Linked DNA regions of Lonchura striata. The protein of the gene in region 1 interacts with the protein of each later gene in a biochemical or structural test. Links are inferred from orthologs where the notes say so. Each region holds a gene or a part of one and is shown on either strand. Other genes may lie near its edges.

Evidence for each region.
Region 2: of the proteins of CDC7 (region 1) and CLSPN, one has a biochemical effect on the other in vitro, tested with the Homo sapiens proteins (3 studies listed by BioGRID, with this or other methods). The link is inferred for Lonchura striata from reciprocal best matches to the Homo sapiens genes CDC7 and CLSPN.
Region 3: the proteins of CDC7 (region 1) and MCM3 form a complex in vitro, tested with the Homo sapiens proteins (2 studies listed by BioGRID and IntAct, with this or other methods). The link is inferred for Lonchura striata from reciprocal best matches to the Homo sapiens genes CDC7 and MCM3.

Annotation. Positions count from the first base shown.
Region 1 is NC_134611.1:20,213,743-20,221,079, forward strand, and holds the start of CDC7 (cell division cycle 7-related protein kinase), read left to right. Parts: upstream 1-4,328; coding exon 4,329-4,422; exon of another isoform or gene 4,423-4,429; intron 4,430-6,576; coding exon 6,577-6,663; intron 6,664-7,337. UniProt on the Homo sapiens protein: Kinase involved in initiation of DNA replication. Phosphorylates critical substrates that regulate the G1/S phase transition and initiation of DNA replication, such as MCM proteins and CLASPIN.
Region 2 is NC_134628.1:3,986,457-3,993,560, forward strand, and holds the start of CLSPN (claspin), read right to left. Parts: upstream 3,020-7,104; 5' UTR 2,950-3,019; coding exon 2,911-2,949; intron 2,144-2,910; coding exon 2,014-2,143; intron 1,461-2,013; coding exon 1,000-1,460; intron 699-999; coding exon 534-698; intron 1-533.
Region 3 is NC_134605.1:110,349,666-110,356,653, forward strand, and holds the start of MCM3 (DNA replication licensing factor MCM3), read right to left. Parts: upstream 3,020-6,988; 5' UTR 2,799-3,019; coding exon 2,718-2,798; intron 2,263-2,717; coding exon 2,150-2,262; intron 1,594-2,149; coding exon 1,385-1,593; intron 835-1,384; coding exon 704-834; intron 513-703; coding exon 274-512; intron 1-273. UniProt on the Homo sapiens protein: Acts as a component of the MCM2-7 complex (MCM complex) which is the replicative helicase essential for 'once per cell cycle' DNA replication initiation and elongation in eukaryotic cells.

The DNA of each region.
Region 1 (7,337 bases):
TGGAGGATGGCACAAACAGGGAGGCTTCTAGTTTAATCGACCTAGCAAGTGGTTAATAGATGTGCTCTAGTGTCAGCACAGATTCCTTTAGGCCTGTCGGCAGACAGGAAAAGTTTGATTCAGCAGCAGATTCTGGCAGCAGTGGATGCAATCACACAGCAATGTTTGGATCCTTTCTTGGCGAGCTCCCAGATGTGGGTTTTGGCGACTGCTTGTCAGCCAGAGGGGACATTCTGCATGGGCCTGGCTTGTCATTTGGCTTCTCATCCTTCATTTCCAACCTAGAGATAAAGCCACAAGAGAAGGCAGTGCAGCAGTTTGGCTCACAGAGCATTAGATGTGCTACTTTGTCATTTTTAGTTGATGCAATTTCTTCTCTTTCCTTCTGAGCAGTTCCTGCTGTGGTGCAGGGTTGGAGCTGGATGCTCAGTGTTGAATGAGAAGATGGAGCCTTCTCTGCCCCACGAGTGAACAAGGAGTTTCTGCTTATCCAAGCCAACAGCAAAGAGAGTGTCTGATGTTACAGCAAAGGCACAGAAGCTGTGCAGATGCAGAGCAGAAGCTTTACTTTTTCTATAATCAATCAAAATAGAGCAAAATAAGCTAAATAAGGTACTTAAGCAAGTACTGAGAAAATAAGAGTGGAAATGGCACATATAATTGATTTCTCTCCTGTGAAGATGTACATGGAGAAAAAAATTGATTAAGAGGTAACTTTTGAGAAGATATAAGAAGAGTAATATCCAATTTGACTTAACTTCCTCCTTAAACAGAGGAGAAAGAAGAAGGTAAAAAGACATAAATGAAGGCAAGCATCAAGGCTGGAATTTCTGGTAGGCTAAAAAGAGTGGAGCAATAAATTAAGAAACAGTATGAGATTATAGTATAAAGGCCAGTTATGCTCATGGGAACAAAAAAAACATTTTGATATGATAGAGAACCAGAATCACTAGAAGGATGACATGAGAGAGCACAACATATTTGAATCAATAAGAAAGGAGAAAATTGAGAGGAGCTAATGATCAAGCTAGATAAATTACCTGGGTCTAAATGAAAATAATTTTAGGTGTTGAAACCAAGATAAATTGAGACATTGCAGGGAAAGAAACCACAGCTAGACAGGGTCTTGATAAGAAGATATAAAGAAAGCAGATTTCTTGCTGTGTGAAAGTGCAACTGAAGTGATGAGGAGGAAGCTGGTCCGAGTATGACTGACAGAGAAGTGCCTATAACAGGAGCTGTACAGAAAGGGAGGTGATTTGGTATTCCACATGAGGGCAACTCCAAGGCAGGGAGGCCAAGGAAGTTGGATTAAACTTTGACCTGGCCAGGAGGCAGCAGAGCTAAGTATGCAACCTGTAAATAATCAGCAGCTATTTTGCAAGTATTAACTGGCAAATAGAATTCCTGGTTCAACAGTATTCAGAAATGGCTGTAGGTAAGATTGTCCCAAGAGGTTAATTTAGAATGATGTTGCTTGTCATAAGCACTAGGACAAACCTGCACTCATGAAAGCTTATGATGCCCTCTGAACTTCTGTAAGTGGATATAAGAACAAACAGAATTTGGCCTCCTTTATTTTGTCATTATACCTCATTTTATTAATGTTTGGTATAATCTGCTTTTAAATACAGTCACACTTAACTGAAATTATTGAGCTGGCACACTTCACTAAATCTCAAGGTGCAGTACTGACTTCTTAGAGCCCTAAACAGAAAGTGCAAATGAGAACAACTCTTAGAAAAGAAGAACCCACACATCAAACCAAAACCTGCTCATCTCAACGTCCTCCTTCTAAAATGTATAATAGGAAGCACAACTTAACAAAAGTGGTAGACCCTGTTTCTGCATTTGACAATTTGTTAACCCAAGTACAGCTTTATAGCAGGTAAAGCCAAGCTAGAACCCTTGCAAACTTTGACAACCCCAGGCTTAGCTGTTATTTACCAAGGGCTGCGTTTACAGATCTCTGCCTGAAATATTCAATAAACAAGATTATTTTGGTTCATATTCTAGTGAACAAGAGATTTATGCATTATCAAGTGCAGTGGAGCTACTCTTCAACAACAGTAATATTATTTTGTCTTTAAAAAAAGAAGAAATATTGACCAAAAATGGGTAATAGACAAGAAGTGCTAAATTATTTCATTTACAAACATACAACTGCATTAGTTTCAATAAAATCCAACTACTCCAAACATCAGGTAACCTTACACTGAATAGTTTCAATAGTTCTTCCAAATCCTACTCATTGCTGGACAGCAGCTACAGCCCTGACCGGAGCCAAGACGGAAATTTAATGTTGAATTCTGTGCGATCCTTTTTGTTGTGTATTCAGGCAGTACGGCAGAGCTGCAAGCCAAGCCGTTCCCCCGTTACAATGGCGTAGGTGGAGCCATTCCTTGGCCTCTGGGACGTTTGACTAGATTTATAGCGCAAGAATTTACCGGGGGCTTGGGCTGTTTCGCAACAACCACACGTAGGACACGAAGTCTAAGGGACGAACACCACCGTGGGGCCCGGAGCGCGGCGGGCGGGGCAGTCCCGCGCGGGGCAGTCCCGGCGGCACAGGCCGCGCCCCGCGCCGCTGCGCGCGGGCCCCGCCGCTCCAGCCAATGGCAGCGCGCCCTTCCCCGCCCGGCGCCGCCATTGGCCGGGGCCGCCGCTTCCGCCGAGGGCCGGGATTGGCGGCGGCGCGCGGGCGCGAAAGGCGGCGGCGGCAGCAAAAAGCAAAACCCCGGCGCGCGCCGGTGCCCGCGTGAGTGCCCGTCCGCGCGCGCGTGTCCCCGCTCCTTCCCCTCCCTCTCCCTCATGCCGCCCCGGGGCCCGGCCCGGCCCGGCCCGCTCCTCTGGGGGTCCCCGCTCCGCGCGCCCTCCGCCCCTCAGTGCCCGCCAACCCCCAGCGGCGGCTGCCCGCCCGGCCGGGGTGGAGCCGAGTGACGGCTCCACGCGGGAGCCGCAGGGCCCGTCTGTAGCCCGTGAGCCCCGGGCCGCCGGGGAAGGCCGCGGTGTGCGCTTGGGCCGGGGCCCCGCTGGCGGGCGCTGTCCCGTAGGGGCAGTGGCGGGCTCGGCGCGTTGCCGCTCTGTGTGGCCCTGGTGACACCAGCAGCGCGCACGGGGCTTTGGCTGCGGGACGGCTCTGGCTCGCCTGTAGCCGGCGGCTGTTCTGTATCAGTGTGTGCAGCCCTTGTGCTGCTGCTGGGGCCATGGTGCTGCCCGCTCGGAACAGGGGTATCTGATCTGCCTCCTCACCCTAGCAGCGGGAGTGCCTGCCTGTGAGAGATCAGCACCGGCTCCAGTCGCGTTCCAGCGCTGTCCAAGTCCCTCTCCACCAAACCTCCCGCAAAAAACGGGGCTCGAGAAAGACGGCTCCTGCCTCTTGTCCCTGTTGTTACACAAGGATGACAGCGTAAAGGCAGCTCAAATTCTTTGGGGACAAAATGTATTTCTGGCTCCATAGCTGAAACAGATGAATCCTTGCATCAGGAGTTTTTCAGAATTTGTTTCCCCCACGTGGAAAAGTTCATCCAGATCTATAAAGGTTTAGCATACTGACAAGGAGGGAAGGCTTTTGAATAGAACTAGTTTTGAGTAACTGTTAAGAGCTGCTGCTTCCAGGCTCATTTATCACTGGTTGTTCTGCCCTGGAAGTCCCTGCCACTCTTTTGCTCCTGAAAAACAATTATCAGGTTTTTTTGGTTTTGTGGGGGTTTTTTTGTTGGTTTTTTTTTTTTTTTTTTTTGGATTGTACAGTTTTAGTGGACTTCACTAGTTCATAGTTTTATGTGGTGTTTCCAAGATTTGGGAAGAAGCATTTCAAAATAAGCATGTTCTATTTTTCTTGTGGTGGGAGGGCAATGAACAATTATATTTTGTTGAATTTATCTAGGAGGGAGAGATCTCTCTTATGGAGAAGATATTTTTTTCTCTTATACTTTCTTTCAATCTTTCTGACTTTCTATAGCTTTTGCAGTGTGCAGTGCAGCTATTTCTGTGTACATCAGCCTTTCAAAGCAAACTTTAGGGAAAAGACAATGTTTAATGTGAATGAGGAAACATGAGAGATGAAAATCAGTTGTATTTAAGCGTATCCTGCAGTCTTCCTTCCCACCCCCATCCTCATTGCTTTACTGGTTTACTGTTTCACTTGGATGGTGGGTACACTTTCTTTTAGTTTGCACAGAGGAACTCCTCAGACTCCCCTAAATCTCATCTCAGGAACTGACTGCAGGGCTAGGAAGTGTCTTACCAGATATGCTTGCTCCCCCAGGTGTCCAGAAGTGGCCCTCGAAGTCTTGTATTTTTTTTCACTTGAGACTTGTTTTGTGATGGAGACGGTGTTGAAGTCTCCCTGTGATGAACAGCACCCTCAGCAGGCTGAAGAATTCCACGGGAATCTTGAGCAGAGCAGCAAGGTTTCAGGTATGTGCTGAAATAGGGATTGTGAACATTGCATTTTGTTGCCGATATGCTGCTTCATCACTTGGGGAAATGTCAGTATTGATTATAAGCCTTTCTGTATAAGATTTTGCTAAACCTACTATTAATATATTACAGAACATGTTATTATAAGAGGATACCAGAATGAAAAAAAGGCAGCCCTTGAGAATAAAACTGACCAGACAAGTGCACAAACCCAGTATTTTGCCTTTTAACCTATAATCACCAGCCTTATGCTTCAATAGATATGTTTATATCTATAAAAACACTCTTGTTTTTCTTGTAGAAGTTGAACTGAAAGAGGTTTTGTTGGTTGTTTCTGAGTCTCTTTGTGTACCTGAGTCTCCACTTTCTGTACAATGCTTGCTCAGGAATCCCTGATGGTCAGCCAGTTCATAGATATAATGGCTTCTGATTTTTTTAAAATACATAATCCTCTCTTAGACTCCTGCATATCCATGCCCAGATTGATGCTGAACAGTGTTTGTATTGCTTTGCAAATAGGAGAAGAAATCACTTTAAAATCTGGTCATAGAAAATGCTGGCTAATATTATTAATATTATTTCTCTGATGGCACAATGACTTTATGTTCTCTGTACCCAGCTGAGGATTCAGGACCCTGGAACAGATCAGGTGATGTTTACACTGCTGTCCTTCAACAAGGACAATCACTGACTTTTTCCAGCACTTCTCTCTTTCACACAAACCAGCTCTGTTGAGCTCCTAAATGCTGTCAGTGCCTTGAGTAGGCACTGCAGCCTCTGCCACCCTGCTTGAAACGGTCTGACAGCTTTAACTTTCTCCAGGGAGGAATCTGAATTCAGTGTTGGACAAAATGGAGTATCTGGCAGATTCTAAAGCAGTTGTTGAGTTAGTTCTCCATGGTTGTTAGGATATACTCAGGATTTTTTCATTCCTGAAATATTTCACAAAATGTCTTAAAACAATTTGAAGAGGCAGAGAGAACAACATAAAGGGTAAAAAAGGAATGTAAACGGATAGTTAAGTGAGGCAGCAGGTTTCAGTTGTCAGAAGCATTTTTAGTATGTTAGTTTTTATAAAATCTTGAAATAAAAAAAAATTAAATTGAAAGTTAACTATGACTTGAATTACTAGCTGATTTATTGGGTTTTTAGCAGGAAGAAAGTGTTCTTCAGGCAGTTTTTGTTATTGTTTAAAGTAAGCTACATAGAAGGCTAGGGATGCATGTTAATATATGCTTTGATTCCAGCATATCTGTGATTAAAAAAAAAAAAATCTTATTGCTTATGATTTACTGCCTTGGTGAAACATGGTCCATTTTTACATATATAATACATTACAATTTATCTGTTTATGCTCAATTTAATCTGTTATTTATTTTTAGGATGAAAAATGTATACACATTTGATTGACTTTTCACAAATACCTTTTTGTGCTTTGTTCTGTATACTAAAATATTCTTTACCCCTGGCTTCACAGAAATTAGTCACAGCTTCTACACAATTTATAGCTTCAAAAGAAGTGAATTCTTCTGTGGGGTACAGAAAAGGCTTGAACAACAAGGATTTGTAAACTGAATGGAAAACTACATCATTTTCTTGAAATAATACATCCTTGTCGTGCCATCTAGTGATTACAGCACGAAGTGCAGCAGCCAAGATGCAGAGCAAACATGGGCTTTGGTGCCAACTATTTTAACTAACAGTGGGAAAGATGGCATTACCAATTTTTAAAATATCTAAAAAATACTGCTTTTTCTGCATTTGTGATTTGCATATGATGGATTTACACTTCTGCTACAGAATCAACTGTTACAGTTTTGCCTTTTGTCAATTGCCCTTGCAAATCCTATGTAAACATTTAGTGATGAGGTGTGGGTATCCTAGGAACCAGGCAGCTTTTGCCCTCTTGGAGTCTGCTGTCAGATAAGTAAAAATGTGTAAATGCTGCAGCTTAGAAAGAAGTGTGATGAAGAACAGCAATACCAAGTGTCCACATGGTAATGTTAACAGGATGGAAAACCTTTGTGCTGTTTTTTCCTTTGTGTATGTGAGTCCACAGTCCTATGAAATGTAATTTGTGATCTCCAGAATAGATCAGATATTGAATCAAGTAATAAAATTCCTAACTTATTTTCCCCATTCTTCCCACAGCAGGAGTAAAAAAAGATATTGAAAAACTTTATGAAGCAGTGCCACAGCTTGTAAATGTGTTTAAAATAAAGGAAAAAATTGGGGAAGGTAAATGTTTCATTTTATTTTGCTTGGAGTTAAGATTTCTTTTGGCATTTCTAACTTAAAAAGTGTAAATCTAAGATCCTAATATACACAATTTAAGCCAAATGCCTTTTCTTGACTTATTACATGGTCTCTAGGAATTCTAATATGCTTCTGAGCACATAGGTGTATTAATTAGGAACACTTTCAAGATATTTTCTTGAAAATCTGGTCTATTAAAGCCTTGCTAAAAAAACAGCATTCCAATTTTGGCAATTAAAAATTTTTGATGTAGATTCAAGTAAATAGCCTTAAAAATCCCTTCGTTTTCTCCCTTACATGAGAAATCTACTTACATGTAGCTGTGTTCTGAAATACTTAATTGGTGATCCTTAAGTTAGCTTTGTTTCCACTACAATCTCTTGGGCAGAAGTGGATAAGGAAACTGAAATGTTGGAGCTGCTTTACTTAAAATTGAACAACTTTTTATTTTTGAAGATTTATGGTATCAAATTTTAGAATGCTTGTGTTCCCATTGCCTTCAAAAGACAGTATTGCAAATACCTTTAAATTAGTGTCAGGCATGACTATAAATAGATTCAGGTACTTCTGAGTGTGGGACTTCAGCACTTAAAAGATAGTGTAATTAAACAAAATTTCTGGTTTTACTATTGAGAGCAAACAGTGTTTTTAAAAAA
Region 2 (7,104 bases), on another chromosome or scaffold:
ATACACTGGCACTATCAAGGGCAAACACATCACAAATAACTGTACAGAACTAACACTGGTCAGCAAAGCCAGCAAGGTTCTCATAAACCAGCACAAACCCCACACAAGGGCAGATTCCAAAGCTCCTGCTACAGCATTATCTTTTTAACTTGCCAGAACAACATCCCTCCATCTTTAAAAACAAAAACCAGAAGGCTCTCCTCTCTTCTGCCACAGCAGTACAACTCCTCCATCATCAGAGTTTTAGAACCTGCTCAGCTACAAATTCCTGATAAATCCAGTAACCATGGAATGATTTGTGTTGCAAAAGACCTTAAAGATCATCCCTTTCCACCTCTGCCATGGGGACATTTTCCACTGTCCCAGAGTGCTCCAAGCCCTGTCCAACCTGGCCTTGGACAATTCCAGGGATTCAGGGGCCTCCCCACCCTCACAGGGAAAAATTCCTTCCCAATATCTCATCTAAACCTATTCTCTATCAGTTTGAAAAAGAGAACATTTACAATAATTTTTGTGTCACAGCCAACTGTTACCTTGTATTGTTTTATTTTCTTTTTCACAGCTGCTCGAATGGATTCTAGAGACTCTTCATCCTCAAGGGGCTGATCACTCTCCTCTTCCAAGCCATTATCAAAGAGGTCCTTGTCATCCAGCAGACATCCACTGTCATTGAAGGGAGGCCTCTCACCACCATCCACCTGCTTCCAGAAGAATAAATTATTCCTGTGATTCCCTTCAGAAGGTCCCTTTGGTTCTTTGACATTAATTTAAAATTACATTAAATCATCAAGTGTTAGGTTTTGTACTTCCTTAAACTGCAAATTAAATTGAAATGAACCTGCAGACTTTGCAGGTTAAACTTGTATGGTGTTCTGTGGATCTCAAACCTGCTGCAGGAATGTGGACACAACACTGAAGCTTTGCAACAGAATAACCACAAACAACAATAAATTTAACTTAGTTGAGAAGTTATCTGAAGGTTTGTACTAAAACACCCACCTCTGCCACAGGCTTCTTTTCTTTCTTCAGCTGTTTAATGGACTCCATTATTTTCTCCTTCTCCTTTCTCCTTCTGGGTTTTGCTACAGCTTCTTTTGCTGGCTCCTCTTCAATGCTGTGTTTGTGTTTATGCTTCCTGTACTTTTTCCCAGATTTTAGGGGTCTCTCCTTTTCCAGCTCACCCTCAGGCAAGCCAGATGTCCTGCCTGTTTCAAGGTTTTCAATCTGCAAAGGGTCACCAGTGTCACTGTCATCAGTGTCCAGCAGAGCTGGGCGAACCCGATGGGATTTATTCTTTTCAGTAGCAATATTTTCCTTTTCCTCCCCATTTTCCTTGTCTCCACCCACAGCATCTTCCTGCACAGGTGAGCCTCCATCCTCCTCCTCCTCTTCGCTCTCACTGTCCTGAAGCACCTTCTGGTTTTTTGCTTTTTTACGCACAAAAATTTCTTCTTCTGAATCTGGAGAAACACATGAAAATAAAAAAGGAAAGTGCAACAAGTTAATTAACAAATAACCAAATTTACATCCGTTAAATTTGACATATGTCACCATCCACAGCAAATGAGCTTCTCATGGAAGTGTGAAAAATCTTTCATGCTTCAAACTCAACTTTCCAAAATCCACTTCTCCCCAGAGAACAGCATTTAATTAACCCAAATTGATGTTAAAAGTTTCTAACCTTAAAAAAAAAAAAAAAAGCAAAGCAAAAAAAAAAAAAAGAAAAGCTGAAAACTCTTCACTGGTAGTGTCTTGCCTTGAAATAGTAATAAAAAATCACACTACATAGATTAAACAAGACAAGGAAAAAAGTGAATCAGTAATTAAGGCACATCCCATTCAATATTTTTCTTTCTGTAGCACTCTTCAGAGGTTTAAAGATGCCTACCCACATTCTGAGCAACAACAAGAATTTGGATTCCTACAGGTCAAGCAGTGACAATCTCCTAAAAGGTATTTACTAAACAAAAACTGTAGAGTTGGAGAAAAACAATTCATGGAACTGTTACGGACCTCTGTCCTCGAAGGAGGCTGTGCTCTTGCCAAGGGGGCCTGGGGAGGTTGTCTCACAGCTGCCCTGGCCACTGTCAGAGTCGCTGTCCAGGGGTTTCTGCAAGTCTGGGTTCAGATCTGCCAGTGGAAGCTACAAAGCAAAATACCATTTTTTAAATTAAAAATTTCTTAATGAGGTAACGTAATGTTTATGTAGTCCTGACTGCTGCCATCCAAATTCATTCCAAAACCTCACACACAAGGAAATCCATATGCACTCTCCGTATAGTCTGATTATGCTATTTACATATTTAGTAATACTTATTGTTATTATTGATATTTACCATATTTATCAATACAAGTGACTATTTACATGTGGGGTAGCATATTTACATATAAGGTAGTATACGTGGGAGTTTACACAGCAAAAGCACAGAACTGACATTGGCTGATGTGATGGCATTCACACGGGAGACTTTCACTCGTTATTTTATTATTTATTTATTTTTATTCAGACCCCTCACGGCGGGCCCCGCAGCCCTCCCGGCATGCACCGCGCCCCTGGAGACCGGCTGAGCGCGGCCTTCCCAGCGTGCCCCGCGGCCGGCAGGGCGGGCACGGGGCATGCCGGGAGCTGTAGTCTGCCAGGAAGGGCGAGCCCAGTGACGGCGCGGGATCGCCCGCGATCACGGGTGGCGGGCAGAGGTGGCTGGGACTACTGACTCCGCCACCGGCAGTGCTACCCGAAAGAGCACCGTACCGAAACGGTTACTGGAATCGCCACTTCCCTCGCTGTCCCTCCCGGGCCTTCCACCTCGCCACAGCCCGATGAGGCGCAAGGCCTCAGGCAGTCGCGAGCTGCCTCCGCCGTCAGCAGCCGGCCGGCCATGCCGAACGTAGGGGAGCGGCAGGACTCACCTCAGCGGAACCCTCCGTTGTTACCGGTACCGCCGCCATGGCCCGCCCGCGCTCCCGCCGCCCGGGGACCGCTTCGAGCCTTCGCGCGCTGCCCTGGCCCCGCCCCCGACCGGGATCGTCCAATGGCTGCCCAGAACAGCGCCGTGAGCCCCGCCCCCGACCGCCTTGCTGGGCGGGGTTCCTTGAAGCCACGCCCCAGCCGCATGGACCAATCGCGGCTCCCGCTCTCGGGCCGCCCGCCAGCACCATTGCGCCGCCTGGCGGGGGGGGCGCTCCCCGCGCCCGGGCTGGGGCGGGACCGTGAGGGGATGTGAGGGAATGTGAGGGGATGTGAAGGGATGTGAGGGAATGTGAGGGGATGTGAAGGGATGTGAGGGAATGTGAGGGGACATGAGGGGATATGAGGGGATGTGAGGGACCGTGAGGGGATGTGAGGAAATGTGAGGGGGACATGAGGGAATGTGAGAGACCGTGAGGGGATGTGAGGAAATGTGAGGGGACGTGAGGGAATGTGAGGGAATGTGAGGGAATGTGAGGCACCGTGAGGGGATGTGAGGGGACATGAGGGAATGTGAGAGACCGTGAGGGGATGTGAGGAAATGTGAGGGGACGTGAGGGGATGTGAGGGGACATGAGGGGATATGAGGGGATGTGAGAGACCGTGAGGGTGTGAAAAATGCGTATTACATGGCTCTACGCAGATAGTTACTATATGTATTATGTTATATTGATTAGTTGTGCTTTTGTAGTTAAAATGAAGACTTTAGTAGTTAAAAAATAAAGACTCTGTATAAGGGGGGAGGTTGGTTTTTTTTTTCTTTTTTTTAGGAATGAGATACACACTTCGAGGAACACCTAAATCTTCCAAAGGAGAGAAATTTATGGCTTCTTATCAGAAGAAACTAATTTCTTCAGGCCTTGCTCTGACTCGGAGATACCATGGGGATTAAAAGAAACAGCTGACATACAACAGAGTTTTTTGTTTAGAATAGAATGTATGCATAACCATGAATGATGTATGAATATGCAACAAGTGTATTGGTTTAAGGGTGATTCCTTTGTTCACAAGGGATGCTTGTCATGACTGAGTGTCTGAGAGCATCCAGACCTCTGTTAATTCTTTGCTTTTTATTGTCTTGTGATTGTCCTAACTCTAAACTTTATTACTCTAATTGTATTGCTATTTTTATAAGCATTTTATTATTATTAAACTTTTAATATTTTTTAAACCAAGTGATTGGCATTTTTCACAAGGGGACATGAGGGGATGTGAGGGGTTGAGGGGGAGCGAGAGGGACCTGAGGAGAAGTGAGGGGCTGGGAAGGGCAGTGAAGGACCTGGGGATTTACAGCTCTGTCAATTATCGACATTGCAGGGACAGGGCTCTGCTGCCAAAACATTTCACGTTGTTTCATGGCTTAAACAGAGCCTATGTTTCGTTTTGATCTTTGGAATATGTACATGTCCTGTCTCCAGGTGACCATGTGGGTGAGAACACACGAGTCAAGCTTATCGTTATTAGATACACACAGCTATTACTGTCCTATTTACAGAATAAAATACATGCATTTTCCATTGGCTGCTGTACAGACATACTCTGAGCCAACCCTACTCTTGTTAGGTGAATGAAGGCTCAAACCTTTTGGGTAAATTCTTTCAATTTATTTCAATTTCTACCTTGAATTTCTGAATATTCCCTCTACATTCAAAAGATTTAAGATTAACCTCTCATAACTCATCATTATATAGTTGTTTAATGATTTCTTTACTTAACCTTGCTGCTTAATGCTCCTTAAGGGAAGACAAAAAAGACTTCTGACTCCAGAAAAATTTACTGAAAACATATAAGTCAATGAAGAACTGCTCAACAGATGCAAATCACTTTATATATTTCACAGAATATTTGAAGTTGGAAGGGACCCACAAGGATCATCAAGTCCAAGAGCAAGGTGAATGGCCCATACAGGGATATTCTAGTACAGAATCAATCCAAGTAGGAAAATATTCTACTTTATCCATTTTTGCTACGTTTAGTTCTGTAGTTCTTTTACAAGTAGCTGGAGGGAGAGCCTTGAGCTGGGGTGAGGTCAGGGACCCTGTTCTGATCCCCAACTGGGGGTATTTGGCATTTTTTTCATAATTACAATTACTTTGTAGAACATACTGCTACAGTAATGCATTTCCTTCCATGTCACCCAGTGGAAATCTGCTATCACTGAAGGCGAAGAAAAAATAAAAAGTGTTTTGGGGTGTTTGGTCAGTTTTTTATTTGGGTATTTTATTGATATGGTTTTACCAGGGACAAGGAGCAGATAGAATGATCTACCATGTCAGTTCACATGGAGCCAACAAGCCTGAGAACAAAGGAAGTGAGAAAAGCAAATGTCCATGGAACCCACCACAAACACCACAGTTCTGCTTTCTGCTAGCTGCTGCAAGGAGCTACAGTGATTAGTTTAATAATTAGTGTTAATAACAGAGGGACAGATGCTGGCTCTGCACAAACACACCTCCTCATGGCTGTGCCGGGATGGAAGTCAGAGTCAGGTGACAAGAAAAAGGTGACAAAAAGATTGGCCTCATTAGCTAATTTCTGCTCCTGGGTTGTTACTCATACCTGGCACGCAGAGGCAGCCATGGAACAGGTAAAATGTTTGCCATTAAGGAGGTTCTACATGGCACACAGACTTTCAGCACTGGATCAAGCCCCATATTGAGATATTTGTGTTATGAAAGCTAGTTTAGAAATCTGTTTTTTTACTAAACAACATACTCCTTCCCCAGCTTGTAGCAGATGAGGTGTTTAGAAGGAAATCCACAGAGATAATCCTGTCATAACTCTGATATGTCATTCCTAAATCCAGTCTTGACCCTGCAAATGTGGCTATTTTCAATATAAGGCTGGGTTAAATTACAGAAATAGGGTTCTGACTGCTGTGGCAGTAGGGATGTCTTACTATGTGTGTAATATTTATCAAGTTAATTGGATTTATAAAGCAGTGAGTAAAGGCTTTAGTTATCACACTCAACATCTTACAGGACTGAGCCTTTGTGTTGCAGATTTCTTGAGACAGAGATTGTATCTTTGGTGTTTCTTTTTTTAAAGTACTATTTGTGTTTCCATACATATGTGTTTTTTCTACATAGATATGCTGAATAATAGCATGGAAATGTTGTCAGATGCTGTGGAGTTTGTTACCGGTCTGGTAAAACTGGTTTTTTCCTCAGGTGTTCATCAACTGCTGTCAGGGAATTATGAGAGAATCTCAGATCTACATGAGAATCTCAGATTTCATTTAATTTTAAAATAGTTTTTGATGTTTCAACTTGGAAAATATCAGCCCCACAGGTTAAAAAAAGCAAATAAAGTGGACTCAGCATTTATTATTTATAAAATGTTTTGACTTCTGATTTTCTGTTGAGTCAGCAGAGAGCTGTTGGTTAAACAGAACCCAGGAGGTGCACAAGGGAGCAGCTTGCTAAAATAGCGTAAACTGCTTAAAAAGGCTAAAAGTCCCTAGGCTCTTTATTTAATGGCACATGGCTGGAAGTGTTGTCTCTTTAACAGAGGACAAATTTATTGTCTGTGAGGATAAAAGGACATGGCCATGGCAAGGTTCTCCCCGGGAGCTGAACGCCCTGGTCAGTGGAACACCACGGGTTCCCACCCCTGACGCTTCCCAGGCATCTCCTGGGTGATGACCAAGATTGTGCCATGGATCTCCAGCCCTCATGGATCCTGAGCTATTCTGTGGCCACAGAGCGCCTCAGGGGCTGGTGGTCACAACCCTGAGAGGTTCAGTGCTGTGGCTCACCTGTCTTGTACAAATCCTGTTTTGTCAGGTGTCTTAAACCCCACTGAGGCTGTTTAGCTGGTACTGGGAGTTATTCGGGGTGTCATCAATTGAGCAGGGAGAATTCCCTGGTTTTGGGGAGCAGTGGAGGACTGGTGAAGCTGGAGCAGCATCACTGTGGGCAGGCAGGGTAGCTGTCACAGAGTGTGCTGGAGTTCTGGGTTAATTATCAAACCTGCAAACAGGTGTTGGGTTTTGGGACAGAACAGGGGAGGTACAGACAGACAATCCCCTCCTTCCTGGTGCCTGAGGGGCAGCAGCTCTCACCTCTACTGAGGTGGCTCTGGAAGAGCCTCATGCATGAAATGCACCCTGGGAAGAGCCAGCAGGTCAGGGAGGG
Region 3 (6,988 bases), on another chromosome or scaffold:
CCAGAGCTCCAGGAGAGTTTGGACAAGGTGGCATTGCAAGGGCTGAACAAGGTGGCATTGCTAGGGTGAACTGTGCAGGGCCAGGAATTGCACTTGATGCCCTTGTGGATCCTTTCCAACTCAGCATATCTGCTAAAGAGGATCAAGGTGCAAACCACTTCCAAGTGATTTAAGCCACTGTTTGACCCAACTCTCTGGTGGTCAGCTGCCAGATTTCACCTTCCAGAGACCCAGCCAAACAAGGTGAGAGGGCTGAAGCCCCAGAAGACCCACCTGAAAGTGCCTGAAGTGTAGCCCCCTTTCTTCCCTGGCAGGCAGCGGTATGTCCCCACCACCTGGATGCGGTCCCCAGGCTTCACCCTGTCCACCAGGTCATCGTCCAGAACCACATCCACCGAGCGTGGCAGCTGCCCCGCCGGGGCCTTCTCAGGCATCTCCTGGATGGTGATGGTCTGGTGGTCCTTGTAGACCGAGAGGCCAAACTCTGTCTCCAGTGGGTTGTTCTCTTCATCCTAAAGCAGGAAGCCAAATGAAAAGATGAGCACCATTTTTCAGAAGAGCAGGGAGGACACAGGGTGCATCACCCACTCTGCACAAGGCTGCTGGAAAGGGTTGTTTAGCAGGACTGGAGGCTGGGGATCACCAGCTCCATATTGAAGCTGGCACATCCTCCCTAGAGGAACCTGCTGCTGCTTCACCTCACCTTTGTAGGGTAGATGGAGCTGGATGGGAAAGCATCCAGGGAGGTCATGTCTGCGTATCGGCGCTCAATTGTTTTCTTGGTAGCTGGGCAATAATGGACACTGCGGACAACTTTCGGACGCACCAGAGAGCCTGGGGTTGGAAAAGAGAGGAGTTAGGGGCTGGGATGTCCCACCCCTCTGTCAGCAGGCAGCCCCCAAACGGGTCTCCAACATTAAGATTACTTGGGTCACAACTCACTGTCAAATATGGGCAGGACTGGCTGATTTTAAAGACCACCCCAACATTCAAGACCTTCAGCCAAGCTCCCTGGCCCAGGCTGCCAGGATACAGAATCATAGGATGGTTTGGACTGGAAGGAATATTAAAGATCATCCAGTTTCATTCCCTGCCATGGGCAAACACACCTCCCACTATCCCAATCAGCCTAGCCTTGGATACTTCCAGGGATTCAGGGGCAGCCACAGCTTCTCTGCACAACCTGTGCCAGGGCCTCCTCCTGCTCACAGCCAAGAATTCCTCCCCAGTATCCCATTTAATCCTACCCTCTGTCAGAGTAAAACCATTGCCCCTTGTCCTGTCCCTCCAGATCCTTATCCCAAGTCCCTCTCCACACCACAGCTCCTGGAGGTCTCCAGCTCCTCCACAGCAAACCCCCAGCCCCTCCACACCCCAGTCTCACACTTTGTCACGATGCCCTCCACGCAGACGATGCAGCTGAGGAAGCAGGCTGTCAGTGTCCGTGGGGACACGTGCTTGGAGCCAAAGCTGCCCTCCAGCCCGATGTAGAAGTCCTCGTACTGCTTGGCATAGGTGGCATCGACAGAGGCGACAAAATCCTTCAGGGCACGCTGGAAGGCGATCAGCTCCTCGAAGGCATTGCTCAGGAGCCTGCAGCACAGGGAGGTCACAAAGCAGGTGGGTCAACCCCTTCCTCATCAGCACTTTTTCCCCACTCCCCCACTTGCTCGACAAGTTTTCCAGGAGCAGGAGGTGAAAAAACATGAAATCCATCACAACTCTGTGCAAGGTGCACTGGCACCAACAGCAAATAGGAGAAAGATTCCAAGAATATCTGAAAAGCCAGATTGACCAGGCTAGTCCAATATATTCTTGAGCATCCTCAAAAGGGCTGAGAGAAGTGGGGTTGGTCAGCCTGGAGAAGACCTTAGAGCCCCTTTCAGTGCCTAAAGGGACTCCAAGACAGCTGGACAGGGATTTGGGACAAAGGAATGGAAGGAGAGGACAAGGGGTAATGGCTTCATGCTTCCAGAGGGAAGGAATAGATGGGATATTGAAAAGGAATTGTTCCTTGTGAGGCTGGGGAAACCCTGGCTTTCACCAGAGGACAAGGTCTGGTGCTTTCTTGTGACAAATGACCTGCAGAACCAGGGCTGGACCTCTGAAACACCTCACAAGCACAGTGTCCCAGCTGCCCCACACCCACCTGCTGGCTCTCTTCTCGTTCTTGCGCCGCAGGTCGTTGATGTTGACGATGAGCCGATACTGGTTGTCACTGATCATGTCCCGGACCTTGCTCTGGTAAATCCCTTGGTCTTCCTACAAGTGGGAGTGGAGTGAAACACACCCAAAAATCAACTCACTTTGCATGTCCGCCTGTGTGAAAAACCCCTCAGAAGCCCATTCCTGCAGAGCTGGATCCCCTTCATCCCACCGGCAAGCAGGAAGGGGCAACACAGGGACCAGGTGCTCCCTAAAGCCGGTAGCAATGGGGGGACACAGGAACCAGGGGCTCCCAACCCCCTGGGGTACATGGCGGGGAGGATCAGGTAGCTCCCAGTTCCCGGGGGCATGGATCAGGGGCGACGGACGGGAACAGCGACCAGGTGTTCCCCAACTTCGGGAGTAGACATGGGGCGGGGGCAAACAGGGATGAGATGCTCCCCAATCCCCGGGGATACAGGGAGAAGGGGACATGGGGACACGGATCAGGTGTTCCCCAACCCCGGGGGCATGCAGGGGACGCAGCACCCGCGCCTCCCAGCTCGTCTCACCTCATCGTCCAGGAAATCGAGGTAATCGCGCTGCGCCTCCCGCAGCTCCGCATCCTCCAGCCCGCCCGCCGGCGCCGCCATTCTGCCGGCCGCCCTGGGACGGATCCCTCCGCCGCTGCCGGGGAAGGCAGTGAGCGCCGAGGGGAGCCGGGGGAAGCCGAGAGGAGCCGAGAGGAGCCGGGGGAAGCCGGGGGAAGCCGAGAGGAGCCGAGAGGAGACGGGGGAAGCCGGGTTGGCCCCGCGATGCGATCCGGCCCCGGCGATCCGCCCCCGCCGCGCTCCCGTTTCGCGCCAAACGCGGCTCCTTTCCCGCCACCGCGCGGGAAACCCGCCCCCGTCCCGCCCCTTGGCGCTGCTGATTGGTCGGCATCTCCCACCGCTAGCCAATGGGGTGGCGAAACAGTGATAGACAGTACGCTTAGCTTATCAACGCGCGGGGGCGGGGCAGGGGGCGGGGCCAGGGGTACCGGGGATGGGGTTTGATCCCGGCTCCGGCTCTTGGAAGTCGCCGAGGGACTGAAAATGCCGCTTTAGGAGGAAAAAAAAAAATTAAAAAGCAAACACGAAAACAACAAACCCACCCAGATATAATCTCAAACCAAGAAAAGTCCAATAAAAACTAATTAAAAACTAATTTAGGATTTTGTTTTTTATGTTGTATTTTGGTGAGCTCTGTTTCCGGGTGTTTTCAACCCCTACAGGCTGGGTGGGTGTTGCTTTTTCCTTTAACGTGGCCCCGGTGTGCCTCCAGCAGTCTGGGGATAAACACCCAAAATGGACAGGTCTTGTGGTATTTGGAATGGAAAAGACGATTTTGGATGTGTCTTAGAATCTCAGAATTTTTGGGGTTGGAAGGGACCTTAAAGTGCAAATTATTCCAAACCCCTGCCGTGGGCAGGGACACCTTCCACTATCCCAAGCTGATCCAAGCCCCGTCCAACCTGGCCTTGGACACTTCCAGAGGCAGCCACAGCTTCTCTGGGCACCCTGTGCCAGGGCCTCCCCACCCTCACAGGGAAGGATTTTCTTCCCCAATATTCCACTTAACCCTGGCCTCTGGCAAGTTAAAAACCAGTCTCCCTTGTCCTATCACTATCTGCTTGTGTAAAAACTCCCTTTCCCTCTTTTTTCCAAGCCTCCTTTAAATCTCCTAAGAGGAGTGAGGAATTCCTATTGTAGGCAGGAATCAAAGGTGCCTCTGCCTACAGGGAAACCTGCAGCTCCTCCTTAAAATAACCACTGCAGTATCCCTTAAAAATCTTTATCTAAACTCCTCTTTAAAAACAGGAAAAGAATAAAAAGCATGACAAAACTGTTTTGATCAGCAAGGCATACCAGGCACACAAACTTGGCGGTGTCCCCTGGATATTGTGGCTCACAGCAGTTTTTCCAGAGTAATCCTGGGAATAAATATTCACCCCGGGGTGTGCTGGGCTGAGGCACAGAATTCCCGCTGCCAGATCCCTCCTCTCCAGAGGGAGCAGCTGCGATCGATCGGTGTTTCAGAAGAGGAGCAGGAAACAGCCTTTGCCCCGTTTCCCATTTTCTGTTTGTGTGGATCAGATCACTCACTGGAAACGTCTGGCAACTCTGGTCTGGGATACGTGCAGTCCACGTCCAGGGTATTTGTCTTGTTCCTGAGAGATTTTTTTTATTTTTTTTTTTTTTAATTTTTTTTTTTTTTCCACAAAGTTCAGACCTCCTTTTTAGACCTTTTAGCCCTGCTCTGGAATAATTTGTTGCAGTATTCAGTTTGGCAGAAATAAAGGATTTTATGCTCTGCTGCTGTTTTCTTCCTTGTCCCCTTTTCTTCTTTTATTTTTCCTTTCCCTTTTTATTTCAATTTATTTTCTTTTTCCTTTCCATTTTTCTTTTTTTTTTATTTTTTTTTAATCTTCCAGGTTGCCCTGCTAGCTCCAGATATGTTCCCTGCGGCTGGAATATTTTCCCTGTTTCTGCACACTCAGCAGGACCCATTTCCCTCCAGCTCCTCCTCAAATCCACCCCTTCCCTCTGATTTGCTGGACATTTCTTGTTTTCCTGAGTGGAGAAAGCACAAAGAATGAACAGAGAAAACCTTTGGCGTGCCCCTGGCACTTTCTATTTCTATTATTTCTTTTTCTATTTCTATTTCTATTTCTTTATATTATTTCTATCTCTATCTATTTCTATTTCTACTTTATATTTTACTTTTTTTTTAATGGGCAAATCATCTGCTGAGAATCTAAACTGGCTGGAGGAATCTGTGTAAGCCCATAAAGGAAATGTGATTTATCCCATATAAACTGCCAGAATCCACTGCAAGATTTCCCCTCTAAGACGCTTTTTCTCCCTCTGCAGCAGGCAGAATATTAAATCCAGCAATGGACAGTCTGCATGCTCTGCTGCAGATAAAATATGGGTGGAAAAAATAAAATATGGGTGCAAAGCACCCCGTGAGTAGAGCACAGAGCGGGTACCAGGGTGGGATTCAGGCACATCTATGCAGAATACACAAGATCTCACCCACATTTGGATGGTCAAAACGAATCCCAGCCTGCAGAGACGTGGATGGCTGCACTTTTCCTCCTGCCAGGAGCTGGCAGGGCCCCACCGCTCCTGCCTGAAAGGTAACAGGAGTTAGGGATAAAAATAGCCGCTGTTGTTATTCATGACAGCGCCCTGCCCTATAGCAACTGCTGCGTGCCTGAATAATTCATGGAGCAGGGCAGGCCGAGGAGGACAGAGGGATGGAGAGAGGGGGAGAAGGCTGGGAAGAAGCAAGAAGCCTTCCCTGGCTTTTGGGACTCCCCAGGATTGTGCCCAAGGTCCCCCTGGGTTCACCTCCCTGCTGCATTCCGGAGGTTACAGGGTGGAAAGGCAGCGCAAGCTCACAGGGACGTTTAGCACTTCCTATCCACTGGAAAAAATAAACAGGAATTAAGCACTTAGCACGCAGAGGGCCAGGTCTGGAGGGCTTGCAGAGAAACAGAAAGCTCAAGGGTGGATGCAGGAGCATCCATGGGTGAATTGCACACGGAGCACTTTAAGGGATTTTCCCATCCCTTCCTCACACCTCTGTGTGTCAGCATCCACATGACTCGGTTTCTGAGGTTTAATGGTACCCTGTGATCCTTCTGAGATTCTGGGACGTTGTGGGGTTTTGTTTTTGCTGCTGTTGTTTTTAGTTTGTTTGTTGGGTTTTTTTTCCTCTTAGTTTAACTAAATGTCACTTTTCAAGCCACAGCTCAACTATCAAGTTGCCATCTATTCGCTTTCCTTGTAGGAAGTGAGTAGCCTTGCCTCACCCATGAAGGGCAGGAGAGAGGCTTGTGGTTCATTTGTAGCTCCAAAAATGGGAGGAGAATATCCCAAATTTGATGGAGTGTCACCTGATCATCAAGCAACACACTGGAGTGGAAGCTGCAAATCTATTTGTTATAAATAGAAAGATAATAACACAGAATGCAATGTTTGGAATGGAAAAAAGTCACTTTTTAGAACTGAAATTATGTGGAGAAGGGAGACCACCTATGAGATGTCTTTATCAGGGTAAATTTTGCATTTTCCAAGGGATTAAAGGGATTTATATTTACTGGGCTCTCCTGAAGCTACAGTTGCAGGAGCTGAACCCTAACCGGGGCATGAATTCTCTCTCAAAAGCAGAGTGTTGTCCTGACTCTCCTCACAAATAATTTAATGCTGAAGGGGCCCTTCTTAATCTTCTCTCCTGACCTTTTCCCTTACATAGGCTGGAGAATTTCACCCCTTTGCATCTTCACCCAGCTCAGGCATTTCTGACATAATTTTCTTTAAATATTTGCTATTCCCACACACTCTGGTAAATCTTTAAACGGTTCTAGCTCTTGGGTTTTTTTCCTAATTGTGGAGAAGAAAACATGGAAAACTACTATCAGGGTGTGTAAATAGAATTTCTTTACTGAAAGGCACAGGGAGCTGCTGGTATCTGACCAGGAGAGCACAGGAAAGTGGGTAAGGAGTTAAAGCTCTGACCTTCAGTGTGTTTGGATGGGCTGTAACCACCTTCTTTCTTCCCAGAGTAGGAGCCCAGAGCATATGGATCTGTTTTTCCTCCCAGATGCCTCTAGCATGCTCCTAACACAGTGATGGGAACATAAAATCTTGTGATCCTGCTCCTGATGTACAGCTACCCCAGATCCCGTGGGTGTTCATTCTGTTTTCCTGCTGTGCAGGAGGAAAATACAGCAATTAATAGAAAACCAAAACAAACCCACACAGGCCCTGCCTGCGGGCATAAGGACAACTGAATT